2 linked regions of the Rattus norvegicus genome follow. The protein of the gene in region 1 purifies or fractionates together with the protein of each later gene. This does not show direct contact. Links are inferred from orthologs where the notes say so. Each region holds a gene or a part of one and is shown on either strand. Other genes may lie near its edges. The genes, in order: Fndc3a and Tent5c.

Evidence for each region.
Region 2: the proteins of Fndc3a (region 1) and Tent5c purify together in Homo sapiens (affinity purification with western blotting; 3 studies listed by BioGRID, with this or other methods). This does not show direct contact. The link is inferred for Rattus norvegicus from reciprocal best matches to the Homo sapiens genes FNDC3A and TENT5C.

What each region holds. Positions count from the first base shown.
Region 1 is NC_086033.1:54,116,538-54,127,420, reverse strand, and holds part of Fndc3a (fibronectin type-III domain-containing protein 3A), read left to right. Parts: intron 1-1,207; coding exon 1,208-1,346; intron 1,347-2,361; coding exon 2,362-2,430; intron 2,431-3,356; coding exon 3,357-3,475; intron 3,476-5,681; coding exon 5,682-5,787; intron 5,788-5,872; coding exon 5,873-6,048; intron 6,049-7,223; coding exon 7,224-7,337; intron 7,338-7,960; coding exon 7,961-8,110; intron 8,111-8,210; coding exon 8,211-8,494; intron 8,495-8,586; coding exon 8,587-8,799; intron 8,800-10,883. UniProt on the Homo sapiens protein: Mediates spermatid-Sertoli adhesion during spermatogenesis.
Region 2 is NC_086020.1:190,558,713-190,569,695, forward strand, and holds the start of Tent5c (terminal nucleotidyltransferase 5C), read right to left. Parts: upstream 5,191-10,983; 5' UTR 4,958-5,190; intron 4,776-4,957; exon of another isoform or gene 2,635-4,775; intron 1-2,634. UniProt on the Homo sapiens protein: Catalyzes the transfer of one adenosine molecule from an ATP to an mRNA poly(A) tail bearing a 3'-OH terminal group and enhances mRNA stability and gene expression.

The sequences.
Region 1 (10,883 bases):
AGTTCTGTTTTACTCTTTAGTGTAATGCAATAATGTTCTTCAAATTAATATATTTATGTTCAAATCCAGACATAACATTCTGTGGACCTGGGTAGTGTGGGTACATATACTAAAATATGAATGTTAAAACATACCCACTGTGATTATTAGCATCATGCCATAGAAAGATTCTTTATATATTGTTAGTCGTAATCCCTCAGAGGAGGTGGTATCTACCAGTTTCTTAACTGCAAAGTCATTCTCTGCCCTTTAGAACCATTGTATTCCATACCAGGATTCCATACCTGTTTTAATGCCCATTACAACCCTTGCCTGGGTCTGTTCCTGTGACTGATAATGCTAAGTGGTGATGCCTTACTTTGTAGTTCAACCTTGGGGCACTAGCTTGCTTGCAGTAGTGACAGATTGAAATTCCTCTATGTAAACTTCTGGAATTTATCTTTCCTCCTATGGCATCACTCTAGGATATATTTTGACTCTTAAATTTGCCCAGTACTTGAACTGTTTAATAATTACAGTTAGTAGAAACAAATCTAAAATTATGGCAAGATGCTGGAAAGTTACCTGGACATGTGAGAGCAGTGCAGAGACCAGAGCAAGTTGGACAGAGCACTGCCTTTGACTAGGTTGTCACAGGTCACAGTTGTTCTTAAAATGCTGGAATTATTAAAACTCTCATAATTACATAGTTCGTGACAAGGCAAAAATGTGGGTATAATTTCTAAAATCAAAATGACACCTAGATTGGATCATTGGATTGTTTTTTTCATTTCTTTGTTAAAAAAATCTATCTCATTTTTTTCCCTGCTTGGAAATAAGTTTTTGTTATCTTGTAGCTTCTGTTGGCTAGGAATCCAGGAACCAGTGGTTCAGATTTAAAGACTACTGAAGTGGAATCATTTGAAGGTGTCGGATTCCAAGTTCACTCACCTGGTTCCTCCCTGAGCCCTCAGCTCTCACCACACAGGCTTTCTCATATTATGCACAGGGCATTTCTGCTGCAATCTGTATGTCAGAAGAAACCATTAGGAATAAATTAAGGCTGTAGATTACAAGCACATTTAGTATGCAGATACACAGTTCTCCAACAGAGAGGACTTGTCAGTTTCAAAGTGTTTAGTCATAGCACTGAACGTGTGTTTTGCTCACAGCTTGGTTCAGTGTGTTATTAGGTAACAAGCATTCTGTCTTCGTGTTCTCTCTACAGGTCATTGCTTATAACTCAGAAGGTAAAAGCAGTCCTAGTGAAGTAGTGGAATTCAGCACCTGCCCTGATAAACCAGGAGTACCTGCGAAGCCTTCGGTTAAAGGGAAGGTACACTCACACGGCTTTAAAATTACTTGGGGTAAGATGTTTTTGTGTTTGATTAAAATAATTTAAAAGCGAACTTTTCTTTAAGACCAACCTTGTGAAACTATCACAGTACCTTTTGCTAGAAATTTACCCTTTCGTCCTTAGACAAGAGGAACAAAATCCATAAGCAACTGGTTCAAAATTCAAATTCCTGTTTCATGGATGTAAATGTCCAGATGGACAAATTATTGTTACATTAGGCCGTGCTCAAACAGTGGCTCCTCCTGTGGATGGTTAGTTGTTGAAGCAACTTGCTATGGGACAAAGGCAGACTCACAGGAGTTGTTTAGAAGAAAGGGATGCTGTGTTTTCTCAGGACAGAGAGCCCAAGCTCAGTAATTTAATCCACCGAGCCAGCATGATGATTTCCTGTTGGCTACTAGTACCAGTGTTTGAATAACATTGTGATGGTGGTGCTTGGGTAAAGTTATTTATTAACTTAGGGCAGTCTGATAAGAAATGTGTCCTCCAGCAAGGATATATCTGTGGAAAACTGTATACTCACAGATACTAACCAGGTTTGACACTAAAAGAACTGGGGGCCCCTGTAAGAGGATAAACAGGGTCAGCTTCATGTGAAAGAGAGAGATTGCTGAACATGGAGCCAGCAGCATCTGAGTCATCTTAACGCTCAAGTCAAACAACAAGAGCAAAGCTTCAACCTTTGCAGAGCATCTGCTTATATCTGAGTTCAGTGGGTGTGCAAACTCAATCCTGCCTTGGAGACGTTTGGAAAAGTCAGCACATTACAAGTACAGATTTCAAATTCCCTTTGAAGCTAAAGTGAATGGAATGTTGTGCAGCCACTGAAATTATTGTAGAGTCAGTTTTATATGGGTAGATTTAGTGGGACAGACTGGTATATTGATTGAAAATTGGTGACAGTAGTATAAACAAAGGATGTGTGAATAGTAATCGTTCAGTGGTTCTTTTTGCCTTGTAACAATCTGCCTTTGTATTCTGTCTTTTGGGGTTTCCATAATACATACCACTTTTGTTTGTGATAGATCCACCAAGAGACAATGGAGGGGCACCCATCAACAAGTATGTGGTGGAGATGGCAGAAGGCTCTAATGGTAAGGAAGCATAGCTGGTAAAGCTGACAGATGTGCTCTGCTGGATGAACCTCTGGTCTTCTGGCTTTACATTGTTTGCTGCCATAAACACATTTGTGCTGTGCTGAGAATTGTCCTTGATTTGGTGATATTAGCGGGTGCGAGTATTTGTGGCAGCTACAATTGTGCCCATCGTGTTATGCTTCAGATCTGGAAATAGAGTGGACCAAATGTCAGCATCTATTACTAAACTCATATTTTCTTTTTTTTCTTATTTTCATGTTTATATTATACAAGCCTAGCATGTCCAGACTGATTTTTTTTAGATACTATATATTTAATGTATTAAGGAGTAGTTTATTAAGTTAGGTTTATACCCACATGTACTAGAGGAAAGTTGGTCTCTAAAGGTTAACTCTAATTAAGGTTTTTATGAACTTTGTGCTTGAGTCACCTGTCCATCAGTTTTTATTCCTATAAGGTATGTTTACTTCAAAGAAAGGTCTTGTAATTATGATTAAATGTGTTACTATACTGACTATATTCTTTGTTACAATATTATTACTGGACTAGTAAACACATTTAATATGCTTAATTAAAAGCAGATTACCAGGGTTGGGGATTTAGCTCAGTGGTAGAACACTTACCTAACAAGCACAAGGCCCTGGGTTCAGTCCTCAGCTCCGGGAATTAAAAAAAAAAGCAAATTACCAATCTAAGTCAAACACTGTACAGAGATATTTCAGTTCAACAAAACCATGCAGATTTGTATCGGAGACCACATGCATAAAGAAAATCTATTTCAGGAAACCCAAGTCAGGCTTGAATTGTTTCTGACAACTTACATAGACACTTAGTAAATGAAGCCTGAGATGCCAGCCCCCTCCATGATACCACAGTGTTACCATTATCTGGTAGCTGATTGCACACAATTCTGCACCTTTCAGGAAGCAAGTGGGATATGATCTACAGTGGCGCCACCAGGGAACATCTTTGTGACCGGCTGACTCCAGGCTGCTACTACCGCCTGCGGGTTTACTGCATTAGTGATGGAGGGCAGAGTGCGGTAATGCTTATGTGTACACGTGTTTGTTTTTTAATTTGGACCACATGGGGCAGGGCCAACATTTCCTGACTTCATTGGTGAAGTCTGTGGACAAATAGGCAAGAGTAATGTTTGTAACACGGTTTTTGTAACCTGGGTGCTATGTTAGAGTTACCAGAATATTCGAACAGGATATTTTACTCGCAGTACATATTTAGGTAAATCTTAGGAAGATATTTGATATCTATATTCAGCAGAAACTGAAATAGTTAGATACTGATTTGCTGCTTTGCAAATTGTGTCTCTGGAGAAACCATAAACTGTTCGAACACAGATACAACATTTTAGTATTTCAGAAAATCTAGCCATTATTTTATGATTCTTAAGAGAAGCAGTAACTGGGGTTTAATCCCAGCACTTGAGAGGTAGAGGATGATGGATCTCTGAGTTCAAGGACCAGCCTGGTACACAGAGCAACAGAGCAAGTTCCAGGACAGCCAGGGCTACAAAACCCTGCCTCAAAAAAAAAAAAAAAAAAAAAGAAAGAAAGAAAGAAAGAAAAAAAAAGGACTCAGTAACTCAGTGACCAATAACTTTATCAGTTGTTTTGATCGTATCCCAATTCTGAGGACAGTTTTAGAGCCTGGTTCAATACTGAGTACATTTGGCATCTTTGGTTGCACTTACTCAATCCCAACATTTTCATTGCTTAGTAATTCAGAGAGGGTGTCTTCATCAGGCTTCCTGACGGCCTATTTGGGCTGGTCACAGTCCTTGAGGGTTTCTACTTTGAATCTGCTTGAGGACAAACAAGAGCATGAGAACACTGGGCAGAGACTGCCCTTTTCCTCATTTTAGGTCATTTCAAACTACAGAAATGTTTTGTGATTTCCACTCCCTGCCAAGATGCTTGCTATAGTCCCTGTCTCTACTTTCTTGTGAGTTTCAGAGAGCATCCTAAAGCATGCCAGGAGCCCTGGCCCAGGCACATACCACAAGCAACCTCAGTAGCCAAGCTCAGTGCAGCAGGGTGAGGCAGATCCCCCTCCCCACAGTTTTGGACAGCATGTGGCGCACCTCTGCTTGCTTATACCTCCTGTTCTTCACTCCTGAGCTGGAATCACGTTCTAGGCACCTGATGTATTTTTAAAGAATTTAACCAAGAATCAGTTATTGGAACATTCATAATAATGTTTTTCAAATGGAAGTTTGCATAATAAAAGCACTGTTGTTAAAAATGACTTTTAAACTTCTTGTTAGGCATGCAAGTATTGTGAAACTAAAGTGTGTGTGCTGCCCAGCAGGACTGTGGTACAGTGTTCCCTTCTATTAATCGAGAAAGGTCCCTGGTGGTAAAGGCATAATTTGATGCTAGAACAGTTTTCTGTGGAAGAGATCTTCCTGAATCCCTAGAACCATCCGGAGAAAAGGAGAATCTCCCCGCATTTAAGAACAACAAACATAACATCTAAAATTCTTTTCAAGTATATCATTGAAGAACGCCTCTACATTACATAGAATGTCTGTCTGAAAAAATGTTGAACAAGTGGTTTGTGTTTAAAAAGAATTAAATATTAAATGTGAACTTTTATATACAACTAGGGCAGGTGATCTTCAAAATAAAATCAAGGCTGGGGCTGCTAGCATTTCATGATAAGATACTTGCTTAGCATTTGTAAGACCCTGGGTTCAAACTCTTGTCACATAAGAAAATAAAGACTTTAAAAATAGGGACCAAAGCAATACTAAATAAAGGTGTCATGTACTAGAGAAACTAACTGGCTGTAGAACTGATATTAGAGGAATAAAAAAATAAATAAGTTAACATTAGGGTTAAAAGACAGTTTAAAAAAAAATAAAAGCCCTATGAGTCTTAACCTTCAAAACCAAAAAGGTAGAAAGCATCTATAGTGTTGGAACAACCTAAGAGGACTGTGGGTCCCTGTGGACAGGATTGGTTTAGCTGCCTATTGTCTTGGATTCGTTGTTTTGTTTTGTTAAAGGACTTATTCCTTTTCCCGTTTGTTTTTTTTAATAGTAGTTATAGCACATGTCTTTTTGTCTATAAAAATATGTTGCAATGATTTAATAAGGCTTGATTCTATTCAGCACTTTATTTCTGTGAATAGTAAAGTATGATTTCACACTGATACAATTTTATATTGTGTTAAAATCCTTTATCAAAGCAATCCAGTTGTTTAGAGCCTTTTGTTTGATTTTTCTGCAGGTCTCTGAATCTTTACTTGTGCAGACTCCAGCTGTGCCTCCTGGCCCATGCCTCCCTCCCAGGTTGCAGGGTAGACCCAAAGCAAAAGAAATACAGTTACGATGGGGTAATTTCCATTTTGCTACTGAATTATAATTAAATTAGAACCAAAATATTCCTCCTGTTAAACCCCTAAATCTATCCCTGCTTAGGACCTCCTCAGGTTGACGGCGGATCACCCATTTCCTGTTATGCAGTAGAAATGACTCCTGCAGATAAAGATGAGCCCAGAGATGTTTACCAAGGCTCTGAAGTGGAGTGTACAGTGAGCAGCCTTCTTCCTGGAAAGACGTACAGCTTCAGACTTCGTGCAGCAAACAGAATAGGGGTGAGGGAACTGCCATCTTATCATCGCGCCTGTCACTGTTTATAAGCTTCTAGTGATAAAGAAGGAACAGTGCCCTATCACTTGCCTTTCTGTCTTTGTACTTTCAGATCTTAGAGTTTATGGCACTTGGAAGGAGTTGTGGCTTCCTTTCAGATGTTTAAAAGCCTGTTTGCCTGCTCACTAAACTGGTTTTATGGAGCATTTACTCCCCACTGAAAACCAGATGGAATTCATGCTTTGCTTCATGAGCACATGCTGATATTTAAGCATTTATGGTTTATATGAGTAATTTAAAAGTGTGCGTGTATATGTTTGTGTATACAGAGGTGGGGGAGATCCATAAAATACATAAAAAGGTGATAGCCCCTCGTTGCAGCTAGTGAGGCTAGGGCTGGAAGAGCGCGGCGTCCACACAGCTGCCGATGCCCTCACTCTCTGCTAGGGCAGATAGGAGCCCTGAGATAAAGCAGTTGCTTGGGTGGGTGGCACATTTTTAAAAACTATTCCAAAATTAATTGTTTTCAAACTTTAAACTCACAGGTCTCTTTACCAATGTTTTAAGACTTGTGCTTAAACTGTGCTTTGTTTTATAATCTGTCTCCAGTTGAACTCCATTTTAATCTGAGTACACTTAAATATTGCGAATGGAATTGTATGGTCTGCAGGCAGTCATAGTCCGTATGCCTTCAGCAACCGCATAGGCTGCAGTTAACTGGTAGCATAGTCGATGTGATGTCTTCCTTTTTATTTACTGGTTTTTACTAGTTTGTCAAGATAACTTTGCACATTTACTTCCTTTATTTCCACTAAACACCCATCTTTGACTTTTTAAGCTAAGATTGGTGCCTGCCATCTCCCATGTTTGTATTTGGTGCCGTCATCCCCCTTCAGATCATTCCTTTATCGCACCTCCCTAATTTACTAGTGCCCATCTCCTTTTACAAAAAGCAGTTCATAAAGAGAATAAGGGAGTGGGAGAGACAAAGTATATTAAATGAAACTTAAAACTCTGCTTCTTTTTCTATAATTGTTAAATCTTTTACTCTTAATGAATGCCTTTAGAATTATGACCAAATTAATTTTGAAGAACTTAATTGCTGGTAAGTCTTTAGATATAGGATTCTGTGCAGTGAACGTTTAAGGATGAAAAAGAAAACTGTGTTCTGTTTTTCTAGTTTGGACCATTTTCAGAAAAATACGATATCACTACAGCCCCTGGGCCACCCGACCAGTGCAGACCCCCTCAAGTGACATGCAGATCTGCAACTTGTGCACAAGTGAATTGGGAGGTACTGTAATTTCTACTTACTTACATAATTTTCCTAAGTAGTGCTTATAAAAAAATAAAAGTAATCTTCGCTTTTGATCCTTTATTTATGTGAAAACTGAGTCCTAGATAAATTCACATGGTAGAAATGAGTTAATTGTTGGAGTAAGATAGATTTGCCTTTTAAGTATTCAGGCTCTGGTTTTTGTTACTTAGTGTGTTTAATCAAAGGTTTTGTTTCTTTACTGAGATTTTAGCAACTGGCGAACTTTGAACAATCAATTGTAAGATTTGATGTATCTTTCTCTCAAATTCATTATCAGTATATTGTGTATTGTAATTGGTCACTGATATCCAATTTCCTTTGAAACTTGTGAAAATATCTGTGTAAGTTAACATTCTGTCGTCAAATTATTTTGAAGTGACTTTATTAAGATACTCTGACTCTGAGGCATATTTTTCTTGTGCTATAAGGCAGAAGACTGTTCAGGTAGTTTTAATGAATGAAAATTGTACACTATTGATTGTGTTGAAATGTTTTAAATCAGACAGTCTCATTTTTAATATGTTAGAGGAAGGAATGATTGTTCCCCAGAGCTGTTGAATTACTTTCAAGACTAAGAAAACTGTATCCTTTTCATAAAGATTCCTTTGAGTAACGGAACTGACATCACTGAGTACCGGCTGGAATGGGGAGGAGTTGAAGGAAGTATGCAGATATGTTACTGTGGACCTGGCCTCAGTTGTGAATTAAAAGGACTTTCACCAGCTACTACCTATTACTGCAGAGTCCAAGTAGGTGACCGGTACCTGGGCACACACACTACTCAGAATCTTCTGTTTAGAGGTCACGGCCACAAGTGTGTCTTTGTTAACTTGCTTTATTCATCTGTAGGCTTTGAGTGTTGTAGGTGCGGGTCCCTTCAGTGAAGTTGTAGCCTGTGTGACGCCACCGTCGGTTCCTGCCATTGTGACTTGTCTTCAGGAAATACGTGATGATGATATAGAATACCCCCATTACTCACCCTCCACCTGCCTTGCAATTAGCTGGGAAGAGCCTTACGACCATGGCTCAGAAATCCTTGCCTATAGCATAGACCTTGGAGACAAGCAGCCCTTGACAGTGGGGAAGGTGACAAGCTATGTCATAAACAGTTTGCAACCAGATACAACATACAGGTACACCTCAAAATCTGTCTGTTTGCCTAAACCAGGAAGCTGTGTAAGTACAATAGCCATAAAGTAAGATTTTTTCTGTATGTGTCGTTTAGAATACGAATTCAAGCCTTGAATAGCCTTGGAGCTGGGCCTTTCAGCCATACTATTAAATTAAAAACTAAGCCCCTTCCTCCTGATCCACCTCGGCTGGAATGTGTTGCCTTTAACCACCAGAACCTTAAGCTTAAATGGGGAGAAGGAACTCCAAAGACGTTAGCAACAGATGCTGTTCAGTACCACCTTCAGATGGAAGATAAGAACGGAAGGTAGGCTTTCTACTTCCTTTTTCATGTGTAGAAGTTGGGGGTTAAGGTATAAAATGTTTATAGTAAATAGTTTGCCAGGCCAGACTGAAGGCTCTCATAAGGGGCCCACTAGGTGGCTCAGTGGGTAGAGACTCCTGCTGCCCTGATTCCCAAGCTGAGTACCTGCGTGACGAAAGGAGAACCAACTCCATCCATTACATGTGTATCACAGGCCACACACACACACACACACACACACACACACACACACACACACACACACACACAAATTAATTAAAATGTAATAAAGTTATTTATCAAAGCTATCTTAAATAATTTAAGTACGTTTTTCAAACTCTCAGAAGGCTCCCTGTGGCTTTCTTGTTTTAATTCCAGTGATGCTCAGGAACTTACGTGAGCTCTTACCTTAGCTATGAAGTAACTCTCTGCAGTTGATTTCCAGCTGCACAATTTATACAAACTGTGATCTGTTCAAGGCTTCTGAGTGAGATTTTAGACAGCACGGCTATGACTTACACTCCTGATGCAAGGACACTTCAGCCCCTCCCTCACCAGCAAGGCCTAGTTGGACTGTGATTTTTGTCCAGTGTCGTTGGCACACTGCCTGTCCCACTTTCATGTTCTTCCACACGTCTGTTGGGCTTCTACATAACACGCACTGACACTGCCCTAGCAGATCCTGTACTTCAGTTAGAGTATATTATTCAGATTATTTTTAACATTGTTTAAATACCAATTTAGAACTGTTTATTTACTCTGCATATACCACATAAACATTGCCTTGTGCATTATATAGCTAGTAATCTTGTAATATTTTAAGATTATAAATAATACTTCTGTACTTTTTACACAATTAGAAGATTGCCCAACTTAAGCATGTAAAATACTAAACAGTTTCTCCAAGGTTTACATTGGCTTTAATAACTTTTCCGAACACTTTAATGGCCATAGTGTGTGTTTCTTAATGTCTGTGCTTTTTTTTTTTACAAATATATATATAATTTTTTATTATTGAATATTTTCTTTATTTACATTTCTAAGTTGTGCTCTTTTCTGGTTTCCCCTCCGGAAACCCACTATCTCATCCTCTCCTCCCCCTGCTTCTATGAGGATGTTCCTACACACACACACCCACTCCCTCACATCTCCCGCCCTGGCATTCCCCTGCACTGGGGCATTGAGCCTTCATAGGACCAAGGGTCTCTCCTTGCTGTGATGCCCTACAAAGCCATCCTCTGCTACATATGCAGCTGGAGCCATGAGTGACTGACTCCACGTGTACTCTTTGATTGGTTGTTTAATCCCTGGCAGCTCTGGGGTGTCTGGTTGGTTGATACTGTTGTTTTTCCTATGGGGTTGCAAACCCCTTCAGGTCCTTAAGTTCTTTCTCTAACTCCTCCATTGGGGACCCCATGCTTAGACCAATGGTTGGCTGTGAGCATTCACCTCTATATTTGTCATGCTCTGGCAAAGCTTCTTAGGAGTCTTCTTGGCATCCTTAGTAGTGCCTCACTCAGGATTATATTTTCTAGTTCCATCCATTTGCCTATGAATTTCATGAAGTCATTGTTTTTAATAGCTGAGTAGTACTCCATTGTGTAAATATACCACATTTTCTGTATCCATTCCTCTGTTGAAGGGCATCTGGACTCTTTCCAGCTTCTGGCTATTATAAATAAGACTGCTATGAACATAGTGGAGCCTGTGTCCTTGTTATATGTTGGAGCATCCTTTAAGTATATGCCGAGGAGTGGTATAGCTGGGTCCTCAGGTAGTACTATGTCCAGTTTTCTAAGGACCCTCCAGACTGATTTCCAGAGTGGTTGTACCACCTTGATATCCTACCAGCAGTGGAAGAGTATTTCTCTTTCTCCACATTGTCACGAGCATCTGCTGTCACCTGAGTTTTTTGATCTTAGCCATTTTGACTGGTGTGAGGTAGAATCTCAGGGTTGTTTTGATTTGCATTTCCCTGATGACTAAGGGTGTTGAACATTTCCTTAAGTGCTTTGTGGCCGTTTGAAATTCCTCAGTTGAGAATTCTTTGTTTGGTTCTGTATCCCATTTTTAATAGGGTTATTTGA
Region 2 (10,983 bases), on another chromosome or scaffold:
GGACCTCTGGATAGCTTACTATTGCTTCCCACACAGAGAGAACCAGGATTTGAGAGTAAAACACATGCGCGTCTTGGCCAGACTCGAACCACCTAGTACAGTAGCCACAAGCTTAGAAAGGTAGAAGGTCCAAACAGAAGTGCATAGTATATACAAAAGACAGCATAACCCCCAAGGCTTGAGCTAATGGATGTAATCTGTTTTACATCTTTTTGCACTGATTACTAACATAGTTTAACAGACAAGTTGATTTATTGTTTAAATGGTCTCATGTCTCTGAGAGAGCAGTGATTCTGTCTGCTACATAGATGACAGTAAAGAAATGAAGTAGCCAAGGGGTCTGCCAGGATCAGTGCCCAGGTGTCCCCCAGAGAAGGGTCCGCCTACAAGAGGCAAGGAAGCAAGCACAAAGTCTACAACAGTCTGGAATGGGACACAGCAGCAGCAACAGCAGTGGCGGCTTCTAGATGAACAACCCAGAGCAAACATCCGTGTGTCTTAACCGTCCTCTTTTCTCTACATCCCCATAGTCCACACACAGCTAGCACCAGAGCCTCAGGCAGCTGTGGAATCCTGACGCGGATCTCTAACTATGACAAAGAGGGGCAGGGGTCACCATAGCACACGGAGGGTCAGAGACACACAGCCAGGTCACATAGAAGGTACCTGGCCTCATCCTGTAAGGCCAAGGGTAGAAGCTAAGGAATACTGGGTGGGAGGAGGGGATGGCTCATGATCCCTGGGAATTTTTCTTCAGTTTTCGTGATAGGGGCCAGATGGGGAGACAATGGGAGATGGCGAAACAATGACAACAACAAACCCCTTCAGTTCAATATTAAAATTTTTAAATTAAAATAAAAACAAGAAAATGTGCAAAACAAAAAGCCCATATAACATACTGGAGCAGACAGATGCGGGGTAAGGTAGTCCTCTCAGATGAGAGGTCAGTCAGAGCCTGCACAGAGGTCAGAGGGGAAGGGACTATGTTCAGTTTTTTTCTCCAAATATCTAAGTCTGTATTTTGCACGGCAAAGAAGGACAGTTAAGGAAGACCTGGCCATGGGGCATCAAGGAAAGCATCAGGAAATCACAATCTTAGAAGAAGGCAGAGAGTCCTCAGAGATGGGCAGTTCCTGGGGGCTTACTCTAGTGCTCCAGGCACAAAGGACTGAGCATTGGCCAGAGATGGGGAGGCTTGCTGATGCTCTCATCTAGCTCCTGTCCACAGTCCCCTCTAAACCAGGTCAGCGAGGACGTCGAGAAACAAAAAAGTCAAAACAGAAGAGTCAGCAGAGCTAGCAGCTGAGTGAACACGGGAGAGAGAAAGGCTGAGTGAGCGAGCAGGGGCTGGGAGATCAGAGGCTGTGAGAGCAGGGGCTGGGAGGGCAGGGGCTGGGAGAGCAGGGGCTGGGAGGGCAGGGGCTGGGAGGGCAGAGGCTGGGAGGGCAGAGGCTGGGAGAGCAGGGGCTGAGAGGGCAGGGGCTGGGAGAGCAGGGGCTGGGAGAGCAGGGGCTGGGAGAGCAGGGGCTGGGAGAGCAGGGGCTGGGGTGGGTAGAGGTGCTCCGGTAGGGCTAGAAGCTGGCCGCTTTAGGAGTTTCAGCTGTCGATCAATTTGCAGGCACCTTGTTCCTTAGCTCCAAGCCTATGCTGCAGAGGCTTCACTGAAAAGATGATCAGGAAACCATCCAGCCTTTTAAATCTGGCGCTACTAACACAAAAAGCCCCATCTGGTCCCCTGGTCCAGCAGGATAGCTACTTCAACCATGCTTCCTTCTCTGCAAGGAACAGCAGGCAGCCCCCAGCAGAATGTGTATTCACATGATAGATGTGCCATGCATGCACTTTTTAGGCAGGGGTGAGGACTCTGAAGTGACCACAAACCCCACTTTTCTGGGGTCCATGTGCAAGGACAACTGAGAGAAAAACAAGTTCTTCAAGTATATCATAAAGCCAGGCCAGCTCTCTCACCTCTAAAGTTCTTCCACAGGCCTTTCGAATACCATTCCTTTGGCCTCTCTGGCACCTGGCACCAAACACCACCTAGGAAGCACTTTCTGACTCAACCACCATCATCCAAGAAAAAAGGACCACCCAATTTAAGGACCCACAGTGGGAAATGTTCTGCAACCACTGGACAACTGCTGCTTCGTGTCAGCAATTACTTCTTCTTGTTAAGAGCTTCGTCCCTGTTGTTTCAAAAAGCTCTGCAAACACTTCAAGAACAAGCTACCAGGGGCCAGCTGTACAGAATATTAATGTGAAAAAGTCCAGAAGATTCCCTTACAGAGTTATGTGAAGATGTTTTCTATAAACCTTTTGAACTCTAAGCTTCCTTTCGATGAATGCATCCAATCAAAAGGTTTCAAAGAGGGAGAAACCTTGGGTTCAAGAAATTAGGAGGTCAGCTTTACTCTTGCCTCAAGTAGCTTTAAACTCATCGAGCACACCTTTAAATATGGAGGGGCTGGTGTCATAATACAATTTCAACAGCTACAGTCAAAACAGCGGGATGGTAGAGGGCATCTCCCCATATTGCCCGTTACCTCATTGATGAGAAAAAGGAACAGACCAGTCTTAGTCCAAGAAACACCTCATTCTGCCTCACCACCTATTAACTGAGAGGGGGGAGGGGGAGGGAGGGAGAGGGAGAGCTCGCTTTCAGGAGGACAGGGAAGATAAACCCCTAAACATCATCTTAATTCAACACATCTCTGCTTCTATGGTTTTTCTTAGTAACATAGGCTGCCCTTCTTCCATGGCTGACTCTGAGACAGTACAGCATAGAAGAGAGAAGGCAGGGTACTACTTAGTGGATGGAGCTGGGCAGGAGGCAGAGAGGGAGGAAAGGAAGGAAGGAAACATTCAATGCGGCGTTCCCATTTTGTCACAGCTGAGCCTAGCTAATAGTACAACAGGGCACAACAGCCCACTTTTAAATTGCCTTCATTGTTGAGAGGTTCCCGGACTTTCCAATGGGCAGTGCAAGGCAAGTGTAATCTGCCTGGCCTTGGACTTAGCATGCAGGCTAAGCGTGTGCCTGACTGGGAGCCCACTGGGGCTGGGGGAGACGTCCAGGCTGAAAGTTCTGCAGAAAGCTTGGGAGCTATGCGTGCAGCAGAACTGGAAAAGCTGAAGAGTGAGCTCTTGGCACTCCACTCACACTCAGACCAACAGGGCCAAGGGCCAAGAGCCAAGTCCTCCCTTCTGAGTTCACAAACCTAATCTCTAGATACAAGGTAGGTATTATGGGAGAAACTCAGACTAAAGAGTGTGACTGTTTGTTCTAGGTGCACACACTAAAGTCACTCATAAAACTTCGGGACCTTTCTTTTGGTAACTGTCTAGAGATCGCTGAACAACCCCCACAATTTTAATGACAGTCATCGACATCCTGTGCAGATACTGGGACAAGTATTCCACACATCGAACTCATCCTTCTAAAAGTTCCTATCGTGTGAACTCCTAAACCAAACTATCTCTTCAGAGAGAAGGTTTCTGATTGGGATACTAAGCGCTCCATCCTCACAAACAAGGACTGCAGAGGACAGGGCCACTGCTGGTCCAGCTGCAGCAGGAAGAGAAAAGTGGCCCTTCTTTACTCTTCACCCCACACCCTTCAACTGCGGGGTAAAATGTGGAAAAACAATCACACCTCTAGTGACTTCCAGCTCGCTCGCTCGGGAGAATTCTTGGTAAGCTCTCCTACCACCCTCTTGGCTGCCTGGCTAGCTTTCTGGCTCCCTCGCTGCCTTGCCAAGCAAATTACAGTGGAAGTTGTTGTAGCCAGCAATGGCCACCGTCACCCTCCTTCCCAGGGTAGCTGGGGCAGCTGGGGGTCTAATTTAGGAAGATCTGAACATTTTAACTTTACTTTCAGAATACCAAACTCGTCATAATTCAAAGGATTATATATATAGCTATTCTTAATAAATCAGTAAGTCTACTAAGTCTTTCGTTGTAAGCACTTTAATCCTCGAATTGAGAGGGGAGGGGCTTAAGACTTAGGAATTGATCAGGACTTTCTGAAGGGTTTCTCCACATTAAAGGGAAGAGGGGAGAAAGGGACCCAGAGCATCTAGGTATGACAATCAACGCCGGTGGAAGTTTTGCGTTCTTGAAAAACCAGGCATTTCCTCATCAGGACTTTGAGGTAGCCTGCCTGCCTGCCCGTCCGCCAGTGCTAGGTGTAAAGGCTACCAGCTGGCACTGCAGGTTCCTTAACTCTTTCTATGGAAAAGGGCTATCACCCTCCTCGCAGACGCTCGGGACGATCCGGGAGCCGCGCCTCTAAGCCACCAACAGCACCGCTATCAGAGTCAACTGACTGACTGCATGGCTTTCAGCCTACGCAGTAAGCGACTTTCGATCCCCAAAGGGGAGGAACCAGGTCTCACAGCCGCCGTATTCTCGAGAAGTTTCCGAGAGACGCGCAGCTTCGATCATTTGGCCACGCGCGGTACCCACAGTTCCAAATAGAGAAGGATCTCAGCCGCCATCCTGGGCACTGAGCCCAGGGAACTGCCCTCCCCTCTCCGGCCAGGCTTTAGCCCCCGACCACAGCGTCTTCATCTACGCCGCCAAAACCGCGGGGTTCAAAATCGCCGGGGTTCCGGGCTCCGTGAGCGCGCCACAGGGGCGCAGCTCAGAGCTAGAGTACCGACTAGCAGAAGCAGAGAAAGAGCCACCTACACAACTGCCGCCGGGCCAGCAGGAACTCGCCCAAGTTTCCCAAAGCCCGAGCGCAGTCTCCGAAAAGTTTGCGCTCCTTCACAGAGGTAAGCCTGCGTCAGGGACGCGGGAGCCGGACGGGTCCTGACACCTGTCGGCATCTAGCCTCCATCTTCGGGGCACCCCACTAGGCTCTGCGGGGACCCACCCGGAGCCAGAGTGCGTGGCTCCCCACCGGAGGACCGCAGCAGCATCCTCCCACCTGTGGAGGATGGGAGCGTGGACTTACCTGGGCGTTGGAAGAAGAGGTGACTGAAGCAGGTGGTTGGCGTGGGCAGCCCCCAGCAGGAGCCGTGCGGAGACTTAGGCCCCCAGACAGCTGCGGCGAGTGAGCGGTCCGGCCGCCGCCCCCTCCGATCTTAACCGGCCTGACCACTCCCCCGCGCCTCCCCGCCCCTGCCCCCGCCCCGCGGCCGGCCTCCCGGGGGAGCCAGGGCGGGGCGCGACGGCCGAGGCCCCGAGGGATCCTTGCGCCCCGCGCTGACGGGGGGGGGGGGGGGGGGCTGGACGAACGCTGCCCTCTGATTGGCTTCCCGGGTCAATGGTTGCCGAGAGACAAGTAAACCTCCCGCGGCGCAAAGGGGCGGGGTGACCAAGAGGCAGCATTGCGCAGGCGCAATAGAGAGAGAGAGAGAGAGAGAGAGAGAGAGAGAGAGAGAGAGAGAGAGAGAGAGAGAGAGAGAGAGAGAGAGAGAGAGAGAGAGAGGAGAGAGAGAGAGAGAGAGAGAGAGAGAGAGGAGAGAGAGAGAGAGAGAGAGAGAGAGAGAGAGAGAGAGAGAGAGAGAGAGAGAGAGAGAGAGAGAGAGAGAGAGAGAGAGACACGGGTTGTGGGCGCTGAACTAACTTTGAGCATGAGGGGACAGTTTCCCTCTGTCCTCTCCGCTCCTCTCTACCTTCAGCCTTCCCTCGCCTGGACTCTTCTCCCCTCTACCCAACTTGCTCCCTGCTGGGTGCTCTTCTTTCAAAGTTTTAGGCGCTCTTCACCATAGTGCTCTCTGGTTTCCGGGATCCCGGAGTGGAAGCCCACGCTTGCCTCGCTCGGTGTTTGTGAAGTCGGAAAACTCTTAAATGGGCCCTGGAAATCTTTCTGATTCCTCGAGCAAATTGGCTGGAGGTGAGGTCGTGGTCCTGGGGGAAAGGAAGCAGCTGATTCTCTGGCCGCGGGGACACCTGTGTGCAGTTGGCAGACCTGGGAAGCCATCACCAAAGCCTTAAGCACAGCAGCTCAGCCCTCCTGAGAATAGCGCTGGTCTGTGCTGCTTGTTACTGCTCGCAGAGGGGGGCCCCCATCCCCGCCCCCAAACACACACGACCCTTAATTTCCTTGCACGTGGTTGATGGCTCTGCTTTAGAATTAAGGCTGATGAGTGGAAATCTTCTTCACCTCTTAACTATCTGGAAAGGCCTTGCAAGAGGATAGTTTGCTTTGTTTTTTTGAGGTTTTTTTTTTTATACAATGCCTCCTGAACCCAAGACAGGCTTCCAAGTTGCCTTGGTTGACTTTTAACTGGCCCTCCTGTGTGCACCTCCCAACTGCTGGGACACGCCCAGCTTTACTAACTGGCTTAACCTATTCTCCAAAAACCTCTATTTCCCATCTGTAGTATGGAAATGTGAGGTCGATATTAGGGAAATAGTTATTAATCATGCACTGCTTGGTATGCAGTTCATGCCAGCTACTAAATAAATTAGAAAGCTGTGTTAATAAACACTTGTTGAGCTTCGTTTGACCCTCTGCTGGGTACTGGGGGCTAGATGGTTTCCTGAATCGGTGCTCTCCTCTGCCCTCTTAGCACCTCTGTGGAGCAGGAGTGCCCTGCAGTGTCTGCTAGACTATGAAGAGTTCTCACGAACGTGCTTTCTCTGGTAGGGGAAGGAAATTCTCAAAACTATAACAGTATAAGACATCAGTATAAGAACTTACATGTTCTTGAACACAAATTCAGGCTATAGGGCCAGGTTTGTTGTTGTTAATGTGAGCCCTGTCTGATCTCATAGTGTCTATTATTGTGTGCAAAATGATAGGTGTGTGTACCCACAGAGCTGTCACTCAGAACATTTCCAGCTTGGCCATGGCTCCTGTCACTCAACATATTACAGGGTTACCAATATTAAGATCTCAGTCTTCATATATCAATTGTACCTGCATCTGAACTGCACATGGGGAAAGAAAGCATGAGCATGTTTCCGTCAATGAGATTTCTCCGTGTTGTATGTAACCATGTTTCATTCTTCACTACTACATACTCATTAAATAACCAATAATGTATGCAGTCTGCTGACTGTTTGATATGCGTTTCACTTGCTTCAGGTTTTGAACGGTCCATAGTGAAATTGCTGTCCACATTCTTCCCTGTGTCTTCTGTACAGCATTGAGTTGTGTCAGGCACATGCTGGAGACTGGAAATTCTAGTTCACAGGGTATCCACACGTTAAACTTTAAATGTATTTCCAGTTATCTGAGTTATTAAAGATAACTAAAGGGGGGGGACAACAAGTGTAAACCATAAAACAAACAACAAATAGATATATTTGTAAAGCAGAATGGGAAATCTGTTTAATGTTCCAACCAGTGCTGTAAAGATTCCCGATGACCCCACATATTTACCACTTTGGGATCATGCTGTTTAAAGTTTTTCTAGTTACATTTTACTGTTGTTGGAGGGGGGTGTGCGTGCCGCAGTGGGCGTGTGGAAGTCATTGAACAACTTGTTGGGAGTTCCAGCTCTCCACCGTGTGTGAGCTGGGGACTGAGTTTAGGTCATCCTCAGGCTTGGTCATAAGCAGCTTTACCCTCTGAGCCATCTCCGTGGCCCAAGTGTTTTCTTTGTAAATGAAAAACCGGGATGTGTATTTCATTATAATTAGACGTTCATTTCTCTGGTGACCAGTACTACTGAGCAACTTCTCAAATGTTTATGATCCATTATGATGGTCTATGGGGGGGATGTATCTATGTGTGTCTTTTGCCCATTTGAACTGTATTCAGTTCTTCACATAGTCTGGATATAACTCCTTTCTTATATCTCTTCCAAATACCTTCTCTCAACCTGTAGCTGGTTTATAGTTTACTGTTATTATCAGTAAAAAGAGTTTCTTAATTTCCAATCAGCCCAACTTACCAAGCATATCTCTAATGTTTAGTGTTTAAGGAATCTCTGCCTAGCCCAAAGCCACAAAGATGGTTGCCTATGCTCTCTTCTAAGAACTGGGTTTTAAGCCTTGAGGAAGTAACTGACCTTCTGCAAAGCTCCAATCTCAATAACATTTAAACAAATTATTACCTTGGCCTTTGACATGGATATGGTCATCAGAGGTAGCTATTGATATTAGTAGATGTAAAAACATCTACTACAAAAGTCAGCATACAATCTAGTGGTTTCTATCATGACGTTTCAGACATATATGTTTGCCATATGCTGTGTTCTGTCCCTTCTCAGGTCTCTACCAGGTCCCCTCCCAGCTGGCTTCCCTGTTAGTCCCTTCTGTGCTCTTATCACAAGAAACTTCTAAACCTAAAGTTTGATCTGCCCTTTGCTTAGGTGACATTTTGTTCAACGTCCTGAACAAATTAGGTAATTCTACGATGGGGAGATGGGGAGGGCCAGTCCAGAGACGAAACTTGTTATAGTCCTGCATGTGTATGTTTCTCCTCAGATTTCTTTTTTTAATCCCCACAGCTTTTCTAAACTTTTTAGAATTTTTGTTTCTTCTGTTTTTTTTTTTTTTTAAATACACTGTGTTCTTTCTACCTCACCAACTGTGGCACCTTGAAGTTGGCAGGAGGCTCAGGAGGTTGCCAGGTCCTGCTCACTGGACATGGAACCAGATAATTTAAACTATCCATGCAAGACTCTTGGTACCTCCTTGCCAAATTCCAGCCTCTGCTGGCACATAGCCAATCAAAATGCTTCAAAGACCTTTCCTTCCTTCTTTCCTTCTTTCTTTCTTTCTTTCCTTCCTTCTTTCTTTCTTTCTTTCTTTCCTTCTTTCTCTCTTTCTTTCTTTCTTTCTGTCTGTCTGTCTGTCTTTCTTTTTTCCATTCAGAATAATCCACTGGTTTGTGCCTAGAGAAGCTGCAGTTGGGAAAACAGATAAAACAGCCTTCAAAATGCAAGAGTACCCTCTTTTAGAATAACCCTAGAAATTCCATGTCTCAGTAAAACTATTTTCAGTACTCCAGCAAGTCGAAGGAATCCCTCCATTACTGTTTGTTGAGTAAGAAAGACTTCATTGGGTAGGAAAGACTTCTGGAAGAGTGATCACGTGTTCCCTAATTTACCAGTTTCTGATGTCCTGACTTTTTGATTACATTATCTCAGAGTGAGTTATAATATTCATTCAAATATCTTCTAGGCATCTCCCATAACATGATGAGTTGAGCATTATTAATATGCATATAGGGGATGCAGGACCTCAGTAAGCACGTAGATTAATGAATGTCCCTCCACACTAAGCAAATTTATGCTATCTACATACAGATTAAGAAATAAAGGAATAGCGGGTTGGGGATTTAGCTCAGTGGTAGAGCGCTTGCCTAGCAAGCGCAAGGCCCTGGGTTCAGTCCCCAGCTCCGGAAAAAAAAAAAAAAAAAGAAAAAGAAAAGAAATAAAGGAATAGCAAAGTGATTGTAATATACTTTCATACAAATGCTTTGTCTACATCTCAGGGAGTGGGGGTGGGGGGGCAAGAAGGATTATGGTTTAGTTTCCATGGACCTTTACTTCCTCTCTGGCTTGTCCAGGCCAATGTGCTTGTTGTTTGTTTTGGGTTTGGGTTTCCATTATTTTGGCATTGCAAAAAGAAAATTAAGTTTGGAGTAGTAAAAAGGTTCAGCTTTGATTTGTAAGGAAGCTGTGTGGTTTGAATGAAAATGGCCCCCTTGGTTTATAGGGAGTGGCGTTATTTGGAGGCGTGGCCTTTGTCGGCGAGGTGTGTCACTGGGGGTTGGCTTCAGGGTTTCAAATGCTCAAGCCAGGCCTAGTGTCTCTTCATCCCTGCTGCCTGCTGATCTGGATGTAGAACTCCCAGCTACCACTCCAGGACCATGTCTGCCTGTGTCCACCATGCTTCCCACCATGATGACCTTGGACTACACCTCTGAACTGTAAGCCAGCCACAGTTAAATGTTTTCCTTTATAAGAATTGCCACCGTCGTGGTGTCTCTTCATAGCAGTAAAACCCAAATTAATACAGAAGTCCAGCATGAGCAGACCCTAGGACGTGGTATGAGCGGATGGACTAGGAAGAGCGGAGGCACGGCTGCAAGGGATGGCGAAGGGAATATGGTGAGGAGTATCTGGTGGGGCCCAGACAGCAAGAAGGATCACTGAGGCACTGACAGAATATCAAAGCTCTGCCCTCCCAGCCACCTCCAATCGTTTCCCCCCTACTTTGAAGGTATGTCCTTGGGGAAGGACAGAGGGTAGAGGGCAGGGCCTGTATGCCAGTCCTAACCTGTAAGCCATACACTTGAACAGACAGCCTCATGTGTCTGAGTCCCAACTTCCTGACACAGACAGAAACGGTGACGAGATTTGCTTCACGGAGCAGTGTGTTAACAGAGGAAGGGGGGAGGGACGGCAGGACCCTTTGCCTACTTTGCATTCTATTCCATTACTGGCTAAGACAGGTGGTCAAGAGAGACAGAAGACAGCAAGCAGCAAAGAATAAATTCTCAACACCCTCTTTGTGTTTGCCCTAACTTCTACAACCCCTCTGTCCTAGGATTAAGGTTTTAACTCTCCTATGGGAAAGGAGATTTTGTGTGTGTGAATTGTTAATTGATCACCTCCTATCTTGTGACTAACCCCTGGGTCAACACTGTAGAATCTCCTGCAGCAGCCTTCCTCAGTGTGGAAACCACTAACACAGGAGCCCGTTCTATTAGCAACTCCTGCTGTCTCCACACTCTTTGCCAAAGAAAGGGGATGCCCTGCTTCTGGGAGTGGCCCACTCCCCTAACAGATGTCATTTTCTGCTCACACATGGGTCTTATGGCCCTCACGTCTGTCTGGACTTTTAGTCTCAAAAACTCAAAAGCGACATTGGCTGGTTTAAGCAAGATGGAATTTATCTAAAATCTATTAAGGGGCCCACAGAATCAGCCAGACAGCTGGATATCAACTTGGCCAATCAACCATGCTACAAGGCATGTGGCCTAAAAGGCCAACCTCATGATAGGTACAGGAGACATCTGAACATCATGGTAGATCTAGGCAGCAGGTGCTGCTGCTGCTGACCCTGAAAATTGGC